3 linked regions of the Styela clava genome follow. Each later gene encodes a partner of the first gene's protein in a complex. Links are inferred from orthologs where the notes say so. Each region holds a gene or a part of one and is shown in the gene's direction. Other genes may lie near its edges. The genes, in order: pre-mRNA-splicing factor RBM22-like, pre-mRNA-splicing factor SPF27-like and pre-mRNA-processing factor 17-like.

What was found.
Region 2: pre-mRNA-splicing factor RBM22-like (region 1) and pre-mRNA-splicing factor SPF27-like share a complex: the UniProt entries of both Homo sapiens proteins name them as parts of the postcatalytic spliceosome P complex. The link is inferred for Styela clava from reciprocal best matches to the Homo sapiens genes RBM22 and BCAS2.
Region 3: pre-mRNA-splicing factor RBM22-like (region 1) and pre-mRNA-processing factor 17-like share a complex: the UniProt entries of both Homo sapiens proteins name them as parts of the postcatalytic spliceosome P complex. The link is inferred for Styela clava from reciprocal best matches to the Homo sapiens genes RBM22 and CDC40.

The regions. Positions count from the first base shown.
Region 1 is NC_135260.1:8,230,034-8,237,822, forward strand, and holds the start of pre-mRNA-splicing factor RBM22-like, read left to right. Parts: upstream 1-4,769; 5' UTR 4,770-4,911; coding exon 4,912-4,965; intron 4,966-5,327; coding exon 5,328-5,381; intron 5,382-6,749; coding exon 6,750-6,912; intron 6,913-7,353; coding exon 7,354-7,454; intron 7,455-7,789. Other genes in the region: cytosolic sulfotransferase 3-like, read left to right, coding at 1-223, 629-742, 938-1,047, 1,377-1,518, 1,736-1,851, 1,954-2,131, 2,433-2,545. UniProt on the Homo sapiens protein: Required for pre-mRNA splicing as component of the activated spliceosome. Involved in the first step of pre-mRNA splicing.
Region 2 is NC_135258.1:22,062,368-22,069,978, reverse strand, and holds the start of pre-mRNA-splicing factor SPF27-like, read left to right. Parts: upstream 1-4,519; 5' UTR 4,520-4,534; intron 4,535-7,611. UniProt on the Homo sapiens protein: Required for pre-mRNA splicing as component of the activated spliceosome. Component of the PRP19-CDC5L complex that forms an integral part of the spliceosome and is required for activating pre-mRNA splicing.
Region 3 is NC_135252.1:3,245,572-3,253,580, forward strand, and holds the start of pre-mRNA-processing factor 17-like, read left to right. Parts: upstream 1-4,954; 5' UTR 4,955-5,099; coding exon 5,100-5,288; intron 5,289-5,945; coding exon 5,946-6,038; intron 6,039-6,117; coding exon 6,118-6,244; intron 6,245-6,741; coding exon 6,742-6,810; intron 6,811-7,207; coding exon 7,208-7,392; intron 7,393-7,776; coding exon 7,777-7,896; intron 7,897-8,009. Other genes in the region: uncharacterized protein LOC120342711, read left to right, coding at 1-12, 194-342, 418-567. UniProt on the Homo sapiens protein: Required for pre-mRNA splicing as component of the activated spliceosome. Plays an important role in embryonic brain development; this function does not require proline isomerization.

The DNA.
Region 1 (7,789 bases):
GAAATACGAGCCTTGTTACCCCCAGAATGCGTTCCCATTTGGGATAAAATGATGAGCATTGATATGTCAGAATTTTTTACTGTCAAGAAAAAGACTTTACCCATTGAAGACTGGAAAGGGCATAAAATGCAACCTTCATTCAAAGCTGAAACCGTCCGGTTTGCTTATGAAGATTGGACGCCAAGAGAAGGCGACGTATTCGTTGTGGCCTATCCTAAAACAGGTATAAAATTTATAGTAGTCTTGTATTATTAAATATTTTTGGGATACCATAGATCTTGTGGGATGTAGGTCTTGTTTGCGAAAAAAGGTAACGACTAGTTTTAACATTAATCGTCTAAACTCTAATTAATATAAATTTTTATATTTATCCAACTATTAGTTGTTGCGCATCTTTTGCGTCGCAGACCATAGTCTAGGGACAAAACATATTGTTTGGATCGGACAGTCAAGATTAGATCTCCTGCCGTATTTGATAGTACATTAACATAGTTACCCAATTGATTATATATAAGCACGTCGGGGTTTGTATTAAAAAGGGGCGAGAGACAAGTTGCTTGGCCGAATTCTCTATGGGTTTTTAAAATATCCACATTGAAGCCAGTCATCTACCCATCTCTTATTACAGGACTAAATTGGACAAACGAAATTGTAAAACAATTGTTATACTTTGGACAAGAACGAGACTACAGAATAATGTCAAGTCAGCCAATGGTCATGAGCCTTATTGAAGGAGGGTGGTGTAAGCTATGTTTTCATTTTTGAATCTCATTCGAGAACCATGATTACAATCTAATCATCTTTAATTACTATTCTCTAATAAATGACAAGGTTTTAGTTGAATATTTGATTCAATTTGCTATCTTTGTGATAATCGACCAATGGCCGAACTAAAGTTGCCTACGGCTCTTTATCGTTTATAATTTTGTCTTTGCAGCTGAAAAATACAAAATATTTGATGCAATGCCATTAAAAAAAAGAATATTATGCACACATTTACCTGCACCAGTGATAAATGTCGACAAAATCAAGAAAGTCAACGCGAAGGTAAACATTTCAAAAAATGTATTTCACCCATCTACTCAAATACGATATGTTATGTTTTAGTTTAAAGAGGCGTCCTTACACAGTATACTCTTTTATTCCACATTTTAGTAAAATCAGTTGTTATATATATATATATATTATTAGGGAGTGTTTCATATATTTTGGTTCTGAATTAAAAACACCCGTTTTGTGCCGAACTACTATATATATATACTATTTGTTTTTTATATTTACCCTGGGCCTGGAAAATTTTTGTCAAGAAAGAGTTCCATCTATTATAAACCATTTCGCTGCTCTCCGAAAATTTCAAGTTTACTGTTTCTTCTTAGGTTGTCTACGTGTTGCGCAATCCCAAAGATCAAGCAGTGTCCTGGTTTAACTTCATTCCAAAGTTGCCGAATCTACAAATCGAACCGCTAGATAAATTATTTGGATCAGACTGGGCTACTTTTCTGGACAGCTTTATTGCGGGTATATATTTAACATTTTTATCTTTCCATTTGAGTAGTATATGACTTTACTTTTTATCGGCGACTTTGTCAAGCATGTATGTATATATATGTGTGTGTGTGTTTGTGGGATTAGTGTGTGTGATTTCTTCAAAAAATATATGCACGATCGTGTCATTCCTGTGTGCCTGAGATACACTTTTACCGGAATTCAGAGAACATTTTTTTTTTATATTTAGGCAAAATGCCCATCGGTATGCGTGACGGGGAATGGTATTTGGACCATATTTTAGGATGGCTACAGCATAGAGACGATAAGAATGTGATGTTTTTCTATTACGAAGATATGAAACAGGTATGTACAAAAATGATATCTCATAACAACACACCTTCTGCCATTTTATCATTTATTGCTATATGTTTAAGTTTATATATATATATATATCAAATGTAATAGAATCCGGTAAAAGAATTTAGCAGAATGGCGAAGTTTTTGGATTTAAATCTCACTGAAGAAAACATACGAGAAATTGCCGAGAAAGTTGCCTTTTCGAGCATGAAAAAATCAGATCAAAAAAGCGGAAAAGAAAATGTTGATCAAAATTTGAGAAATCAACTTGGAATACTTAGAAAAGGTGAGGCGTAAATTCATAGCAGAGTCTGCTTTAATGCCAGCACACAGTTGTAGTTCCAAACAGTTGTTCTCGCCATTTTAAAAATCTTTTAAATCAACGCGTTTTCAATTTTTTTTTAATTGTTGAATTGTTAATTAAGAAGTTTATGAGCGTGAGAAATGTGTTATTCTCTTTTTCTTTTAAGTATTCGTTGACTTTGTTTTGACGAAATATTAGATATATATACCAAATTTTTGTGCAAGCTAAGTTCTAGAATAATTTAAAATATCGTATATATAATATAAAACGTTTTTTCTATCAGGTGAAGTTGGTGGTTGGAAAGACCATTTCACGGTTGCTCAATCTGAACAGATGGACAAAGAAGTGAAGAACAAACTTGGAAATACTGATATAAAATTCAAATACACTTTATAGTTAGATAGAAAAAAGTTGAAAATGAAGCACGTTTAAATACAAGTTATTAATATACCTAAATATATGAAATCATGTGTTTTCCTTCTATAGCTGGTTCGACAATATTATATGCTATATACGTTTGGAGAAGCAAGCAAATTCGGCATGTTTTAACACCGCTTTTGTACGCCCTCAATACTTTGTGAATGTCAAAATCATAGCAGTTAACAAATAAAAGTGTGATTTTTCAACTTTGGCATAAACTCTTGATCACAGCGCAGTATATGGGTTCGAGGTCAGATGTGACTGCGTTGAATGCTTAAAACCAGGCAACGCAAAGGCGTGGGAAAAATTGAAGAAATGTCTGTCCCATGACTGTTTATTTAAACCAGGGGTGGGCATCATACGGCCCGCGGTCCAGGTCCAGCCCGCGACGAGATTTTGACTAGCCCGCTGACTGTATCCAACCACACTATGTAATGTGATCCGACGCATCATTCCTGAAAGTTGCCGATCGCTCTACTCCCACCGCACTGTCAGTGCGAGCTGGTGAAACAAACAATTGCTTTAGTGAACAAACAATTGCGTTAGCACACTTGTTAAACAAACAATATAAGGTCAAAGCAGGGAGCGTTGTAAACATTCCCTAGCACTGTTATCAGTCATATTTAAATTCTAAATATAAATAGATTTTAGAAATTAGATTTTATAGATATATATTAGGTTTTATTGACCATGGAATATCCCAAGAAACGTACAGTTGACAGAGAGTGTCGAGCATTTAATAAAGATTGGATACCGAAGTATTTTTTGTAAGAATCCGACCAATCGAGGACTTCATTTTCCCACATCTGGCCCGCCGACTAGAAAAGTTGCCCACACCGGATTTAAACCTTTGGATAGTTGGATAGATATTGCTAGTCTTATAGTTTTGCATTTTATATATAGCATTGTTATATATGTAAACAATTTGAATAAAATATAAGCTTTTGAAGCGTTCAAAACAGACCTGCTAAGTGCTAATTGACCTGAATTTTTTCAGTTGGGTTTGAGTTCGAATGGAAAGTATGTCACGACTCACGAATCTGATTTAATCTGGTGAAATGTTTGCTCGCCAATACACAGGACAACCTTTGAGATTCAGTAAACTAGATTTGTTTTATTGTACAAAGCAACCTACCAAATAGTAAAAATGTAACGTCATCTCTACTATCATACAACACACAAAGCCAAATTATAATTTGCAATAAGGTGTTGTTATTAAAGTTAATGGGGACCAGGTGCAAGATGTAAATTTTATCGTATTGTGATCTTATTGAGAGTACCCTGCGCATATGATGGCCCTTCACCGTAATCTCCAGATAGCGATGTTGGTTGGTTAATTCGTTAAAGCCATGGTCACCGACAACAACTGTTACGCGAAATTAAAATCCCCGATTTTGGTAACACAGAAACTTAATATTATTAAGTTACAGAAAGATAATATTATTCATATTTTCCCCAGTAGAAAGGACAGTTTATAAGACATTTTCTTTCACATTTACATTCACGTACAATAACGGTCAATCTTATACATAATACAATATATTGAATATTGGGAATACGATACAATATAAGGAATACAATATAATGACCTCGTGGTCGTATCGCCCCCCGAGGTCTGTACCAAAAACTTCTTAGTATTTTTTATTGTTGCAATGTTCGTTTTCTGGTTGATGAACAATAAATTTTCTCTCTTTCTCTTAATCATGTGATTGGCGGTGGTTTCTCGCTCGTGAAAAGAGGGATACGATAAACATTTAAATAGATGAGAGCAACTAGAGCCCCTCGGTCGCTTACCAGAAAAAAATAAGTCCAAATGTTGCATCACCATTAAATTCTTACTGGTTAGGCACTGATGGACATGAAAATGCCCAAATACTACACGCGGATATCTATTTTTGGATAAATAACTTATGTCTCCGATGTAGTTGTGCTGGTATCCGACTGTTTTTTTTTCAGCTTTTCACTTCTCTCATTTTGGTTCGCGTATACAATATTGTTCAATTCGATATATTTGTAACCATGCGATACTTGAATAGTTAAAATAATATTTAGTCCGTGTTTTTTTCCTGGTTTTATTTTGGTCGAAGTATTTTAGTCTCCGGTGCTAAAATTGATAAAGCTGGTTGTAATGTGACTCCGTACACTAATTTGCTCCAGTGGTTAACGCGAAAATAAGCTTACGTTCGTTTTTCTTGATCGGTTTATCTTTACGTCTCACAGTCTTTAAGATCCGAATAGTCTATTTGCATTCTGCCTGGTACCGGTACCGGTATTACTTTTTGGTTTGGAGGTATAACAATTGAAGTCGCGATCTAAGATAGGGAAACACTTGAATATCAAGAATGGCGACATCTTTAGGAGCTAACCGATATAATCGTCAAAACTGGGAAGAATCGGTGAGTTGTCAAAATCATTCTGTCAAGTTTATGACTTGATATTCATAGCACCCATACCTGCAAACAATTGAATAAGCTTAATACGGAATAAATATAGAATTAGGAATAAAGCTATAAATACATGAAATAGCTTGGAAAGGTTGAGAAATATACAATTGGACAACCAGAATCAGAACAAAATTATTTTTAATTTTTGCCTGACCTCAAATCGCAGAATCATTTATTTTTGTTTGACTTCTGACATGTATGAACCGAATGATAATAATAAGTATAATTATACAAGTTGATACAGAAATGTCCTAATAAATTGTAGTGTGATGAATATTGAAACTGAAATTTAAATCTTCACTTTCTGACTTTAGGATTTCCCGATTCTATGCCAGACATGCCTTGGAGACAATCCATACATCAGAATGGTAAGTTTTTGTGTTGCCATCGACAGAATTGCTTGTTGTAGTCGTATGTACCGTATTTATTCAATTATAACGCGCACTCGTGTATACTGGTATAACGCGCACCTTTAAATTTTGAATGAAAATTGGTATAAAATTCTTTTTTTTATTTTTTCTCTACTAACTACTGGTAAGCACATAAGGTAACAACTCACAGCATGAACAAAAATTTATTAAAAGCACACAGTAATTCAAAACTCTTCAAAATCGGATTCAGTCTCTGACTTTTGTGCAATTTTTGTTTTCTGGCGTAGTGCAAGTCCATACCTTCTCATAAACTTTTGTGCCCAACCATTAGATGCTTTAAAGGTTGAATCTTTGCAAATCTTTTGTGCACGGAGTCTAATATGGAGCGAAGTGACGATGTACCCACTAGATCTTTGATCAACTATCCAATCATAAAGCTCCTTCTCCAACTCTGGGTACCGGGCTTGTCTCCCTCGCCGCGCTTTCTTTGTTTTGTTCATATCTTTTGAACAACTTTCTGCTTTCTCCAATCTCTGACATTTGTCTCTGGTACATTGAATTCTCTAGAAGCTTTTCTATTTCCATGAGTTTCCGCATAATCAACAACCTCCAGTTTGAATGCAGCCCTATATGCAGAACGTTTTTGTCTTGCCATAATAGATAATGGGTAATATATAATGGGTATCTACAGTACAGTACGATAATGGCAAATAAATATTCTCAACGCAGCGGGAATGTCAAACACATGCTGAGCTGTCGCATGTGCGTGTGCTTGCACGAAATCGAACGCTTGCACGAATGTCAAACGCACGCTGAGCTGTCGCATGTGCGTGTGCTTGCACGAAATCGTCCTGCATTGGAATGTGCATGCGCGAGCGCACGCACGTTTCAGATGTTTAAAACCACATTTTCAATACCGCATTTCTCAGACCTCGTGTATAACGCGCAGCATTGATTTTTGCCTAAAATTCAGTTCAAAATTTTGCGCGTTATAATCGAATAAATACGGTATGTAGCTTATTGTCATGATTCAGTGATTATTTCAATTTTTTTAAATTGAAACATTTCACTTCACTGATTAAAATCCTATAAACAACTAAGTGTAACTGTGTTGCTATCTAATCTACCTCTAGTGACTTTAATAGCTGAAAAATATTCTGATAAGATTTAAGACAAACCAAATTTTTCGATGAAAAAATCTGCAATTATCGGTTAAAAAATCTTAAATTATTACAGCAGTTAACGGATAAAAAATGCTAGTGTCCACAATTTGGACATCCCTGCTATAGATGAATTCAATACAAATATACTTTTCCATACTTTATATACTAATGAGAAGAAATCAACTGTTTTTGTTTTTCATAGACTAAGGAAAAATTTGGCAAAGAATGTAAAATTTGTGATCGACCGTTCACAATATTCCGATGGTGTCCGGGTGCCAGGATGAGATTTAAGAAAACTGAAGTCTGTCAAACTTGTTCAAAACTCAAAAATATCTGCCAAACTTGCCTACTGGATCTCGAATATGGTAAGGATTACGATAAACAAAATTTGTCTAGTTGTATATCTATAAGTTAGTATTAGTACTCTTGAATAAACACTTAAATTTATAAGCCTTATTTTAAATGCATACCGGTAATTATTTCCAACAAGGTAAAGAGATGTTTTTATGCTCGGGCCATGTGATGAAAGAAATGCACTGCATTCCATTAAAACAAATAACCTCCGATATTTTTGCAAAATCTTAGACACATAGCGCGTGTGAAATTTTCGAGGATGTGTAAGCCTATTCAACTAACTACTAATATATTTCATGAATGAAATACGGTTCAAGTAAACAAACGAGAAATGAGATTTTTGGGATGTAGCAGCCATGTTGAAAAATTGGCTACGGCATACTTATGTCAAATTCAATTTCAAAATTGGGACATGCTCTGCTTTTCAGGCAAATGTTTACATTAATTTTCAGGTTTGCCCGTTCAAGTTCGAGACCATGCACTGGGACTGATTGACGATCTTCCCAAATCAGACGTAAACAAAGAATTTTATACTCAAAATATGGAAAGAGAGGTAAATATTATTTCAAGTTTGGTTATAAAATATTTATACACTATTTTCTCAAAATGAGCTTCAGAAATAAATGTTCAAATTTAAACAGTTGAAAAATGCTTGTCTGAAGAAGTTCGACCTCGTATAAATGAAACGTTACAGACATACATTTATGCTAGTGTGCAGCAAGACTCTTGAATTAAATTAAATATTTAAACTGCGAAAAAACACAGTATGACTCTCACATTGCGTCAAATAAAATAGTAATGATTTCAATTTATATTCAACAGTAATCATGTAACTACCCTGAAAAAGGTATATTCTAAGTGGTTCCCAACTAGGATTTTGATCTCGGG
Region 2 (7,611 bases), on another chromosome or scaffold:
GGTGTATATACATCGCAAATCATTTTCCAATTTACCCACGTTGATCATGGGGTAAAATTTGGAGACAGTAGCCAACAAATGGATAGGAAATTGACGTGCAAATTTTGAAAAATTTTTGGGGTTCATCAAATAGAACGCGGCAAGGTGTTCAGTGCGCAGACGATCGCCTATTTGATTCACCAGAATGTCACAGCATTCCTTTGCAGACAAAATCAAACGCTGCGTTGTTTGCCCGCGGCGTAAAGAAGCACTCCATGTGTCGTCGTATTTTATTGTTTCCCGGATACGAGATACAGTATCGCAGAAGTCTGAAATACACGACTGCACAGACGCTTTATCCATCAGCCTTGACTGCAATGCGCCGTATAATACATCCACGTGATAGAATATTGTGGAGAAAAAAGCGAGAAAAAATGAAAACTCACCATCTTCTAGCAGACGCTTTAGACCTGCCACCTCCCTCACAGAGCGTTCGTCCCAAACCGGAGAGCTCTGAATGCCATTGAAACACTCAATGAGCTCAGACCTAATTTCGGACACACTCTGCACCACGCGTGATTGGAAGTTCCAACGTGTTGGTGCACAAGCTGGGAGACGGCGGCTACATATCTGGCGAAGGAGGTCAGAGCGCTTCGGCGAAACGGAAAAAAATGAAGAAAACCCCGAAACATTTGCAAAAAATATACGGACGAGAGGGGTATCAAGACACATATTTTTAATAACGAGGTTAAATTGGTGTGCATAACAATGTAAAAAATGCGCATGAGGAAAGTCTTCTTTTATATAAACTTGAACACCATGTTTCGACCCACTCATGACTGCCGCGCCGTCATAAGTTTGAGCTATCAATTTTGACTTCGCGTTGTAAGGCTGTAACACTTCTTTCAGTACAGCCGATATCCCGCAAGCCGTGCGATCAACGATTGGTACAAAGCTGTGAAATCTCTCGGTAGGTTTACCATGTTTCACAAACCGAAAAGTCACAGCCAGTTGGGAAACGCACGTGATGTCAGTTGTCTCGTCAGACTGAATCGAAAGGAACTGGCAATTCTCAATTTCCAGAGCCAAATGTTGTAAATAAATTTTATACATTGAGTCGAGCAAATCATTTTGGATATCCTTAGATGTCCCTTTCGAAACAGTTGCGGCATCAAGATGATCTCTCAATCAGTGGCGGCGCGTGGTCATTTTGACAACCGGGGCAAGCTACTGCGGCACCAAGTCACCCCCATCTACGGGGACAGGATGAGCGCTGTAAGTTCTCCCATCATTTTATGAGTATAAAAACCATTCCATCGGTAACAACCAATCGGCAAAACCGACAATTTTTAACGATAAGGAAGTGTCTTTAAAACCGGTCCAAGTCAAGGGATTAATAAATATAGACATAGTTTATTTTGAAACCTCTTTCAAAAGGAAAGGCAATATTTACCCAGATAAATACAATGACATATTAACAGAAACTTCGGGAAAGCAGACAAAACCTAAAATAAGGTTTAAAACGTTACTATGAAAGGAAAGGTAATGCAAAGATAAGGACATGCGTCGCTCACTCATAGATATATATTCTGCTAGACTTCTACTGCTTGAACATATATGCAACACGCCGCGGTTTCTTGGAAGCAAAATACTCAATAACGCGCTGATTAAAGTCATGCATCCCAGAAATAACGTCTCTGTGAATGGATAAAACAGCCAAGGAATTTAATCTATCTTGCTTCATTGTGTTTCTGAGATACGTTTTAATACGCTTCAGCGTGCTGAATGTTCGCTCTGCGTCGGCGGAAGAAATAGGCGTCGTCAAAATGATGTCCAGAAATTTTGCAGACGCCGCAAAGGTAGTTACTAGAGTGTTATCTATGAGGAACCCATAGAGCGCGCAAGTTGATGTGATGTTCAAAAAAGTTTGATTGGTGTATATACATCGCAAATCATTTTCCAATTTACCCACGTTGATCATGGGGTAAAATTTGGAGACAGTAGCCAACAAATGGATGGGAAATTGACGTGCAAATTTTGAAAAATTTTTGGGGTTCATCAAATAGAACGCGGCAAGGTGTTCAGTGCGCAGACGATCGCCTATTTGATTCACCAGAATGTCACAGCATTCCTTTGCAGACAAAATCAAACGCTGCGTTGTTTGCCCGCGGCGTAAAGAAGCACTCCATGTGTCGTCGTATTTTATTGTTTCCCGGATACGAGATACAGTATCGCAGAAGTCTGAAATACACGACTGCACAGACGCTCCATCCATTAGCCTTGACTGCAATGCGCCGTATAATACATCCACGTGATAGAATATTGTGGAGAAAAAAGCGAGAAAAAATGAAAACTCACCATCTTCTAGCAGACGCTTTAGACCTGCCACCTCCCTCACAGAGCGTTCGTCCCAAACCGGAGAGCTCTGAATGCCATTGAAACACTCAATGAGCTCAGACCTAATTTCGGACACACCCTGCACCACGCGTGATTGGAAGTTCCAACGTGTTGGTGCACAAGCTGGGAGACGGCGGCTACATATCTGGCGAAGGAGGTCAGAGCGCTTCGGCGAAACGGAAAAAAATGAAGAAAACCCCGAAACATTTGCAAAAAATATACGGACGAGAGGGGTATCAAGACACATATTTTTAATAACGAGGTTAAATTGGTGTGCATAACAATGTAAAAAATGCGCATGAGGAAAGTCTTCTTTTATATAAACTTGAACACCATGTTTCGACCCACTCATGACTGCCGCGCCGTCATAAGTTTGAGCTATCAATTTTGACTTCGCGTTGTAAGGCTGTAACACTTTTTCAGTACAGCCGATATCCCGCAAGCCGTGCGATCAACGATTGGTACAAAGCTGTGAAATCTCTCGGTAGGTTTACCATCTTTCACAAACCGAAAAATCACAGCCAGTTGGGAAACGCACGTGATGTCAGTTGTCTCGTCAGACTGAATCGAAAGGAACTGGCAATTCTCAATTTCCAGAGCCAAATGTTGTAAATAAATTTTATACATTGAGTCGAGCAAATCATTTTGGATATCCTTAGATGTCCCTTTCGAAACAGTTGCGGCATCAAGATGATCTCTCAATACTGTATCTAGGGATGCGGTGTATTCCACTATATCCAAGAATACCCCTCTATTAGAAGAGCCAGCCCGTTCATCGTGCCCACTGAGGGACAGCTCGTGACAACCAATGAACTTCAAAACATCTATCAATCGACCGAGAACATGGCGGTTTTTCTCGACGTTTTGGTTGTGCTGACGAATAGAAACCGCGCGTCCTTCATCCAACTGTGCTGCAATATTAACATTTCCGAATGTTCGGTATTTTACTGCATTGTCCAGATGCTCCATAGAAGATTGATGATCCCTGGCACGCTCGGAAAGATGTTTAAGATCTTTAAAATCAAATTTACACCAACGTGAGTCGCAGGCGGTAGCAAAAAGTAGGCAATGAAAACAAAAAAGTGCATTTTTGTCCTCGCTGTAACACAACCATTCGTGTTTTTTATACCAAGTTTCTGCGCAGAATGTACGCCGACGCTTTTCTCCGTCATGGGATTGTTCCAGTGAACAATTTTTTGGTTGATAAGGCCCAAGACGTTGTACCTCTAATTTTTGTTCCAGCGGCAGCTGCGAAAACGGAGTGCGAAGTAGTGCATCAACCTTATTCATTATGAGTTCTAAGGCTAAGAAATGCGAAGCCGGAAAGAAGTGAGGAGCTCAAAAGGAATGTGGAAAATCGAAAGCAAATGGACTAAAGGTCTCTAACTGATTCAAATAGCGAAACAAGCGACAAAAACGAAGAAACAGAAAACAAACGAGACAAACGCGGCGAGTGGAAGATAAAAGAGAGAATACGATATACAATGAGCAACCGGGGCAAAATCGGCGTCGCCCCGTCAACGTTCGGCGAAGGCTTTGCGAGCGAAAAATGAACCTTGTCGGGAGAATATGGCTAGTGTAGACAGTCTGTGCAACCGATATTGAGGTATTTTTCGAATATTTTCTATTATACCGAAAAAACAGGTTGGCCCTGTTGACGCGCCGCCACTGATTTTTGCAATGTTCGCGGGCCACAACAATGCCAAGAATGGGTAAACAGTTAAATACAAAATAAACACTTTTATTGTACAAACACATTAATCAGCATTTGTCATTTATCAACGTTAGTGTAAGATTTCAAACTCTTCATAACGGAAAAATATCTTACACAAATGAAATGCTTTCGAACATCAATAAAATTTTCAAAGCAAAATCTTAACTTTGGAAAATGCTCATTGCTCACAATATTCTAAAATTCCGTCCTAAATCATATTCTTTTGTCACCGACACAACTTGCCGACATATCTAGCAAGCATTGTGGTATTTTCCCTCCCACGTAGGTTTACCATACGTCCCGCTTTAGGCGGGACAGTCGCGCTTTTTATCCATCCAGCATAATACACGAACATGTTCTCGTTACTGTTGTTGCTGTGTAGCGCAACGCTAGCCTACTTACTGAAGGAGAATGAGTTATTTTGGAGTATTTGGTTGTATTAAGGCTCGTTTTGGCGCACCTTAATACACCGAAACAGAGTCGTTTTGGGTTCACAGCCCCGCTCTGCACGCATTCCGTGAGAGGCCCTTCTCAGCGATTTTTTAAGGGCCTGTCTTTAGTAAGAAGCGACGGTCTTGTGAACGACCCGAGCACTAAGCTTTCGGCCGAAGATCTTGTAACTGTTTTATAAGGGAATTGATTGAACTGTTCTTAAGCATCGAGTCAACTACCGGATTATATACTGCCTGCGATTCACTGGACTTACTCAATTGGATATACGAGCATAAGAGATTTACCATCATACCTCTCGGATATTCAAGATGTCCTACGCAGCTGCTGCAGCAAGAACTGGAGATGAAGAATCGACGATGACCAGACGAAGAACTCTGTTTGTGGAAACATCAAAAGAAGTAGAATTCTCGGAGCTCTACACTGCATTTAAAGAATCCCCACAACTAGGAGGTTACACGGATCAAATAAGTGGTCTTTGGGAAATAGCGAAGAACAAGTGGGTTTTGTCATTTCATCCTCTGGAAGATAGCCAAGAGAGTTGTGGAACCGAACTGATGAATTCAACCAAGGGTGAAGTGAACACCCCAGATCTGTCATTGAAGTTCTCTTTCCCCTCACCACCACCTATCCGGGTATCAATAAGAGGAATTGCGGACAAAACATCTCTCGCAAAGGCGATCGAAACCATGAGCAATAAGGGAGTTGGCAAAATTGTCTCAGCAACGAGGGTTTTTCACAAAGGAACAAAAATATATAACGGTCCACCACGTTCCAAATAAAAGAACTCGACATCGAAAAGCTCCCGACATTCATGTCAATTGACGGAATAGGATGTAGAACCTTCGTCTCGAGGGAACTTTACGTTCCTTCTTGCACCAAATGTTTAGAGAAGGGGCATACGCAGGGCAACTGTGAAAATGAAATACGATGCCGTAAGTGCCAAAAAGAAGGGCACATGAAGAGAAATTGTCCCGTAGGAAAGTCCCCGAAAAAAACAATACAAAAAGAAAAAGAAAATGTCGCACAACCAGCTTCGATTGAAATGACAAACGCCAAACTAAAATCCGGAAAGCCAGAAACTCCATACGTACTAAAAGGTTTTAGTTCAGTTAAAGCACCGCTGTTGAAAAAAGTAGTCACACAGACCGAAATTCACAGGGAAGATCCCGAGATTGAAGAAAACAAAACCGCAGAACAAGTATCTTCAACGAACCCGTTTGAAATTTCCCAAGTAATATCGCCTATTGTACAAATTGTCCCATTGGAAACAAATCAGGAAACCGAAATGGTTCCACAAACACCAGAAATCCCTCTAGAACAACCAGTCCCTCCGACTCAATGGTCGGAAGAAATCGAACAATCACCTCTAAGCAAAACTGATGCGAAAGAGAAAGAAGAAGTCCCCGCCCTAATTGATAAAGGCTCATTGGAAAATCTATTCAGCCCCAGAGCACAAAGATGGACTCGGAGGAAAACCGCCATCATTCGCTCGCCAACGCGAGAGAATCTGAATACGGCTTTTCAATCATCACCGCTTCCTAAGGCTCATAATATAAGCTTTGTCGAATCACCATCTCGACAAAAAAGAACCGGAACTAGCCCAGACAATTTATCCATGAAAGATAACTCCCAAGTTAGAACTTCAAAGAAAACAAAACAAGATACCAACCCCCGCCCACGATATAGCATTGTCAAAACACCCAATGCTCGTGGGAACGATTAGAACTCAAGATTTCTGAAAAAAAAAAACGGAACTTAATAAAAAAATCATACCTGAGACCGACAATTCGAACCCCGCCCATTTTTAATTTCGATTTAATACAATGAGTAAAATTAAAATAACAACCATAAACATAAATGGACTTGGAAAAAATTGAATAGTTTATCTAATTGGTTAACCAAATATAGCCCTGATATTTTATGCTTACAAGAACTGCATAAAATTGATGAAAAACAAATACAACGATGGGCGGATAAGCTCGGATACAAACTCGATGACATTATAACAATAAATAGTGTCAAACCATAAATGAATCGAGTAAAATTAAAATAACAACCATAAACATAAATGGACTTGGAAAAAATTGAATAGTTTATCTAATTGGTTAACCAAATATAGCGCTGATATTTTATGCTTACAAGAACTGCATAAAATTGATGAAGAACAAATACAACGATGGGCGGATAAGCTCGGATACAATATATTTTGCAACACAAGTGCTGTTGACTCAGCCATAAAGTACATGAAGCAGGGAACTGGTATAATGATAAAAAAGAGAGATGACATAAGAGTTTCAAAGTATACTAAATTTATGGAACATAGGATGGAAAGTTTAATTTTGCATCATGATAAAGGAGATATTATGATCTTAAATGTATATGCGCTCTCGGAACGGGGAACGAGCCAAACTGATTTTTATGGTAAACTCGATGACATTATAACAATAAATAGTGTCAAACATAAATTGATTGTCATAGGAGATTTTAATATAGTATTGGACGAAAGAGATGTACTAAACAAAAACAACTTTAAACTCACCCATGCCGAGAAACTGTTCAGAAAGACGATCTCAGACAGCAATATACTTGATACGTATAGATATAATAAACCAAATAAAATAGTATACACGTGCACTACTGGAAATCAAAGTCGACGAATCGATAGAATTTATCATCAAAATAATTTGGACCCGCTCATTCATAATATAAAACATAATATCAATACCCTCTAATATAATTCCTATACTTATACTTAAAACACCTCAAAAAACAGGATGGGGAAGCGGAATTTGGCGGTTAAATTTACTTCACTTGGACAACGAGAATTACCACGAAGTAATTACAAACACGTATAATAATATGTTGTGAGAAAGGGGAAATTTTAGCTATATCCAGGATTGGTGGGATGAGTGCAAAGAAAAATTTAAGAAACAAACGATTGGATTCTCAAAACTGAAGGTCAAAGAAAAACATATAAGGGAAGACCAACTACATAAAAATTTAAAGTTATTGATAGCAGATGAGAAACCTGAGAACCAATCGAAAATATTAGTTTTAAAAACGCAACT
Region 3 (8,009 bases), on another chromosome or scaffold:
CAGCGGTCAAAGGTAAGATTACTTTCACAGTATTTATACACCGATATATGCGAATGTTGATGCGTTTCTACTGCGATCGACAGAACTTAATTCCGATCTCGCAGAGTTGATTGGCGCATTTAGGATTGTAGGCCTGTTCTACCACAGCAATGAAATTTGACTTGTTTTTATTTTACTTTTTTATTATTTACAGGCGCTCTAGTACTTCTTCCCATACTGGGCGTTCCGTGGGTGTGTGGATTTCTTGCTCATTTCTCTCAAGTGTTCACAATGCTTTTCATAATTCTCAATTCAACGCAAGGCATTGCAATATTCATAGTATATTGCCTTTTCAACGGAGAGGTAATCTGATTTAGTAAGAAACCGCTTTATTATTTGTTTGTTGCCTTTTATGCTTGAAGTGTTTTTTGTGATTAGGTGAGAAGAGCGATTCATAGAAGACTGGAAAAACGAAATATGAAATATGCTGTCGACAACGGAAGACGTAGAACGAGCAGTACAAGTACTGTCGCCCGTAGCTTTCTTAGATTTGGACGGAGACGGAGCACTGTAACCACAACAGCATGAAACATCACAGTCAAATTCGCAACTTGTAAATAAATGAGCATTTTGCCAAAACGCAAACGTCATATGACCACTTGAAAGTGGGATGACATAGCTACGATATATGGCCTTTTTTCTACTTAATTGTATTATAAATGTATTTGCATGCAAGTTGTTTTCCTTTTTATATTGCTGAAAGAAAGATGGTTTGATTTATTGATCAGCTACACAAAATGTGTATTGCAAGTCATGTATGTAAAGACTTTTTCACCTAATGATTTTGAGCGGCCTCGCCCTAAATGAAAACAATTATTTTTGTTGTGCAAAACCAATATTCTATAAGGAAGAGAAATCAATAATCTAGGCCAGGGGTCACCAAACTTTTTTGACCGCGGGCCGGGTATGACTCAAATTGTGTTGAAACGGGCCGGATGAATATTTTTGTCAATGCAATACAATAAATTCACAAATGTTGGGAATATCGCAGATTATAGATCGAGAACATCCTAGGAAAAAAAATTAACAAGATTTCTATATCTAGACAACTATCCTGAGTTTAGCTGTTATCAAAACGTTGCTGTCATGAATTAGAATTGTTACAAAATCCGCGGCAAAAAATGTACGCATCACGTCTGCTAAGTACCGTTACGCCGTGTTGAAATACCGCTCATAAAAACGACTGCCTGCTGTAGCTTGGATTTCTATGAAATTTTGACATATTTTAGATAAAATAAACAACTATTATCTGGTATTTGAATTTTTTCATTAGCGCACAGATTTCCCAACATTCGACGCTTTCAAAAATTACGCTCCAGTTATACGTAGTGAAAATTAATGATATTGTCTATGGACACCAATAAAATTTATATGGACGTGTGTATTTCTTGTCTAACTTGATACTTACCAATTTTTATGAATTTCGTACAATCAGAACATCGTTAATTATTACCCACAATGAACCACTGTCAAACTATCATGAACAACTCCAGCGTTTATTTGCGACGATCTTCCGGCGGTGTCAATGACCGTTGCCAGAATAAAATCCTGAAATAGTCTCAATATACCATAGATGTGACGCACATCGAAAGATTAGTGATTGATATGTGTTATTTTTCCATATTCAGTACAGTTCTTATCAAAAAAGTAATACAATCATTATGGAAAAAATTGGCTGTCGGGCGGTACTAAAATTCCGATATCTCCGTTATTTCTTGACCGTTTATTCCAAACTTGGTATTGTTTTCTATTTTTACTCAGATCTTTCCACTGGAGCAGTTTTTATTTAAATCGGATGAACTTCAATTTTTTTGTAACATACCTACATGAATATCCGCATTAAAGCAGTACAAAAGTTAGTGTGGCTTTTGAAATTGGAGCAGTACGCGAGGGATTACAGTACTGTTAGCACAAAATGAGCATTCGACGTTTATTTTAGCACGAAAAACAAACAGTTTCGTCGAAAGCAAGCGCCACGAGTGTACAAGTGTATCTCAGAAAACGTTACGTACTGGTAGCATTCAAAGTCGCAAAAACGAAGTTTTGTTTACAACCACGACTGAAAATCTGTCAGGGTGACAAAAGTGTATGAGCGGATGCGGAAAGGCCTATTATTACGTCAATTTTCTGCATCTTGCCGATTGGCCAATGTTACGAAATAAACAAGGAAGACGATGCTCGTGAAAATCTTTCTTGGAAAAAAATTTAGCCATTTTTGCGCGTTATTGCGGACCTGATAAAATGACGCCGCGGGCCGGATAAAATGACGTCGCGGGCCGGATTCGGCCCGCGGGCCGTAGTTTGGTGACCCCTGATCTAGGCCTACATGTCACAAATTACATAAACGGATATCGGCTATTCGCGAAAGATTAAATGAGTCATCTAGTCGACAGCTTGCATCCGAATTCAGGCAACAAATATATCGATAGAACATGTCAATAATAAAAATTACTAAATTGAACATAATCGTACAAGACGAAACAAAAAAAATTTGAAATAAACTACGGAGTACCACATTGACAATGGAATATTAAACATTTACTCGGTTAAAACAATCAAAGAAAACAGAGGAAGAACAAAAAAAATCGAATTAAACTATGAGATGCCAGAAACCCACAATTATAAGTTATTGGATACTATAGAGCAACTGCGAAACTTGTAAATAGGACAACATGAGCTCAATGAGAACGGAACACAACAAAACAGTGTAAATATGACATATTATTACAAGCATACGATGTACGCCAAGATGGCGTGCCCAGAGTCAAGCGTTTGGGTGGGAGAGTTGATATTCGACGAATATCTCTTGTTGAAAGAGATTATTACTGGCTCATCAAAATAGTACAGGATGAAGAGTAAGTTTTGCAAAATTCATGGCTTGGTTGAAAATGATAAAACAAGAGCAGTACACGAGTAGCAGACAAAAGCAAATGACAAGCCTCAACGCGTATTGTTTTAAAAGGGTAAAGGAGCTATAACCCAGCCTACTTAATGGAGCAAGCGGGTATATTAAGTAACACAAGGCCTAGCACTTACTGGAATTCTCTCCCCTTAAATGAAATACTCTTCCCTTAAACTTGAAGACGTTAAGTCCAAAAAATCTTTTCAAAAACAAGTTAAGTTTCATTTAGTTTCCAAATGTTAAAAATTACTATTTGGAAACCAACATCTGGTGATGTTCGTTCACTCCACACTTGCACATTGTATTGTTTTTATGAGAATGTTGGACAGCTATATTAAAATTGTTATATGTTACCGTAGCTTAGCCTGACCTAGTCTGGCACACAAGAAATGGTACTGTGACATGCGTGCTGTTTTTTTCTCTTTTTTAACAAGGTAGCTGGAAGTATTTTCTTTGAATAGCTGTTCGCTTTATAACCCTAATGCGCATGTCTCTCACGTTTTTCTTCATGTGAGGTCATTCTTAACATAGATGCATGGTTTTATGTTTGATTGGGGGTATAAGGGTTGTAGATAGTATAATATAGTTACTGCAAGGTTACTAATTATTGCAACTAGGCGAGCAGAAGAGCTATGTTGAATTCTATCCTTCAACTATTGATTTTGGGTGAATTATGTCGTATAATTAGCGAGTTATTAATTAATTAGTGATGGGACACAAGGTGTCAATATGGAGTAAGAGCGCGGTTTTGGGGATACCCTAACTTTCGATCGATAAGTCTTCGGTCTCTGACCGATATTCTCGTTTATGTATTCACGCATTTTATGTTTAGGCATGGTATTGGTGTGGAATTGAATTGATGGCCAAGGAATATATAGTGATCAAATTTGTGGTGTTTTTGCATGGTGTGACAAATTCTTCTCTGTCTCAAGCATAATGTAATCATAGATCTAACCATCGCTATATAATGACAATACATCCCAGAAGCATTTAATTAAATGTGATACAGTAAATCAAGACACGTACAAACAAATCAAAACAATGCTTGTGAATTCTGCGCTCAGACAATTATAAAAACAATTATCAGGAAAACACTAACTGACTAATAACGCGCGTAAACATGTAGGCCCATATAATTAATGAAGCCAATGTTCCTAAAAACAGTAGATACACAAAACAAAAACAATAATACGCCATGAAATGAATGTCTAAAACGTTATGAATTGGCCCGTTTATATCAGATTATATCAGTACGAATTCTCATTTAGCCTGTCATCAAAGTCATTGTAGAGCAAATAAGTACACATATGATTATGAAGAGTATTCTGATTCTGTTATATCTGTCACCAAGAAAACCCAATACAATGCCTATGATAGTGAAGATCGCCACAAAAATTATACCAGCAAGAAGTTGATAATCTACAGTCTACTCTACACCATCCTGTCATCGCCTTTGTAATCCCAGATGCAAACTTGTGTTCCGTTAACCGTGGCATTAGCCTACTCCACAAAGTATCTCATTTCCCGACATATTGCTATATGAAGAGAGAGAGAGAGTTTATTTGCTTTGTCCACCAGAAAACATATACACAACAAAAACATAATTAATAAAAAGCGAAACAGTTCTCGGTATAGACTGGGTGGCAACGATACGACCATGCGGTCATCGGGGTCTGTTACCACCCAACATTAATATCAAAAAACATGAATAAAAAAATGCTTCAAATATGTTTTAACATATTTTAGGTGTGTCCAAAAATAACATTAAGTTTTCATGGAAAGAAAGAAAATTAATAAAATATTTACATAGAATAAAATTAATAAAATATTTACATATAAGCCGAAGATTTGCAGTCATGATCGGGCATGCATCCCATCTCGCCAAAATTCTTTCTTATATGAAAATGATAGTTTCAAACTTTTAAAACTTCAAACAATTTGTAGGCGCGATCTCTCAAAATAAGCGTCTAAAATTTTGCAATGGCGAAGTGTAGGGAGAACTTTTCTTGGGTCAAAGGTCGGGAGAACGTCCATGCAGCTGTGGTTGTTTTGGTTAGATTTCTAGTGTTTCAGAATTATGTTCACTTTGGGTTAGTAGACCAAAGCCCATATATACAGATATTGAGATATACAACATTTCTAACAGTTTAAAAGATAAATGGCTGCTATATTCGCTTTGAAAACTGCATATGCAGATTCAGATGATAGTGATGGGTCAGCGGATGGTGAGATCGCGGCAGGCAAAGTTATTTCTGAAGAGTCAACGCTTCACTTAAAATCCACAGATGGTCCTTCATCGAGTTCAAAAATGCAATTGGTTGTTGCGGCTCCTGAAGTTATAACTAAGGTAAGATACAAGTCAATTCTGCAATTAAAACTGTACCGTATTACATAACGTAATTTCAGCTTTTAATTAAATTCAAGCACATTGAGAAAAACATGTGTAATTAGATGAACTAGCTTGGTTCTGCTGTCCCCTACAACAGGCTGCCCCTAGGCCCACCTCTAGTCAGGGCAACCTGAGCTTCTGGAACCTTTTGTTTCATTATTCAGTTATTCTTCAAAACTCATGGTCATGTACAAGTTATATTATTAAAATTATTAATAATTATATATTATATTATTGGCGCGGCGGTGTGGCTCAACGGGCTAAGCGTTAGGAATACGCTCGCCACCGCACCTCTAATTACTCTGCGTGGGTTCGCAGGTTCGAATCCCATGCAGGGATGGTTATGTGCGAGAGGATTGCTGGACTCCTCGCCGTCGTTGGGTGGTTCACGTAACTGCTGGTCGGTTATGGCTTCCTCCACCACCAAGTCCATGCTTCAGAAAACAAACAATATAACTAATCCCATACCCGACTTGGAATGGTAGCCGGACGAGAGGCCGTGGTGTGCCATATGGACACCACCGTCTTATCAGCTTTCCTCTCCCCCAGGATAAATATGTAAATCCTATCCTATCCTAAAATATAGAACTGCATCTTCTTCTTTAATCTACACAGGAGGATGTACAAGGAACAAAAGCCATTGATCATGTCACGAATAAGGAGGTTATGTTCAATCCAACATATCAACAGATGTTTGCACCAGAACAGGTTTTATTTCTTTAAAGATTCCATTGTTGAAGCCTTCTTTTCTTGTTCGTGGTGAACATGTGATTAATTTTGTTTACAGGGACCAGCAAATCCATTCAAAACAAGGCAACAATTGGCACAAAAGAACACATTAGCAGGCTTTGTGCAAGAAGCTCATGTCGATAAATTTCAGTTTGAAAATCAGAGAAAGACGTTTTATAGTTATGGTATGGTGATACACTACTGTTCTATATACTAACATTGGAGGAAAATCGGTCACATTAGGTCAGTGGTGCCCAACCACCTTTTCTATAAATTCAAGACTTTACTTCCCTTGAAACTTTTTATTTCTTCCTCTCCCTGGATAACGCTGCATCGGGTTATGTGGAATTACCTTATTCATGCATCAGAGATTGCAGACTTTTGGTGATCAAGCTACTCGCATAACAAATTTTTATTATGAAGCCATTCGAGCATACAACCCAACCCTGTTAATAGTTTTCAATAAGTCAAAACAGAAACATTGTTTCATAAAAATCTAAATACCAGCTGTATCTATCTGTTCCAAATTATGAGTGCTTTCTCATTTATTAACTTGTTCATAAAGAGTATATAAAATACCTGTTGATAAGTCAATCTTTATTGCTAATAATTTTCTATTCTTATTATGTTCTCACTTAATTTTCTAAATATATCTGAATATGGCATTACAATCTTTCTTCAGGCTATGCAGTCGATCCTTCCATTGATGAATCTGGAATTGATGAAACAGCAGGAAACAAGACAGTGATTGGTATGTTTTTATGTTTTTTTTATAACTTCTATGATTACTGAAACTTTTGGGTGCAATCATACACAAACAAAAGTATTATATATATTTGCTTCATTTACGTTGAAGTAATTAATAAATTTATAGTTCTTTTCTTTCTGGGCCACCCTGTATTTTAAATACTCCCATGTCATTACTTTTGAATCATTTTAATAAGTCCATCTTGCAGCAAATTTGAATTTATGTCATATTCGAAACTAAGCCATTCAAATTTTCAATATCCAAATTCCAACTATACCGAAAGGAAAACAGTAATTCCCGACACAGAATCTGATAACATAATTTTGTTCGAATAATTTTTTTTAGTTTTGTTTTTAACTAATTTTTTCGTCATTCCTCAATCGGATATTATTTTTTCCAGCTGATGTTGGTGAGGAACTGATGGCCAAAAACAATGAAAAAGAGAGAACTGTTTTTGAAAAAATCAAAACAAGAGAGGCTGATAAAAGGAAGAGACAGAAATGTGATAATCCTGAGGATATTGACGGATTTCTTGGACCTTGGGGTGGATTTGTTGACGATGTTAAAATTTCCAAACCTTCTGAGGTAACTTTTAATTGCCTAGCATTGACTTGAATATGCAGTGAATTAATAGATAAGAAGCATTATATAAAAAAAGCAGTTTTCGACATAGCCTACTAAATTTATTTATTTTAGACGCTGATTGAGATGAGCTTGGGTTTTAACTTGAGTTTTCATCTTGCGGCCACAAACTAGCTAAGCCAACGTGCATATTATAGCTATTGTGCCTGATAAAATGATTTGTTTGTAAACAGTTATTTTGGTATGGTTTAAATCACTAGGACATGGTGAATGGGGTTTGGTGAGTTTCAATAAGTCATCTCAACATTCTCAAGTGATATATTATATATCATGTAATAAAAAAAACAAGAGTGATATTACTAATGTGTATTTGCATATGGATTTCAGGAAGAACAGATAGAAATCGATGAACTGCTTGCAAAGCGTAAAAAGAGAGGGAAGAAAGCAGAGGAAGCAACCATCGAAGAAAAGACAACATTACATGTCAAAAATCCAAATGATTATCAGGTAAGTGTATCACAATATATTACAGTGAAATATAGCCAATGAAGGGATGCAGTTGTTGATCAATGAAAATGACCGAGCATAATACTGGATTGGGCTTGAAGAAAGTGTCCTGA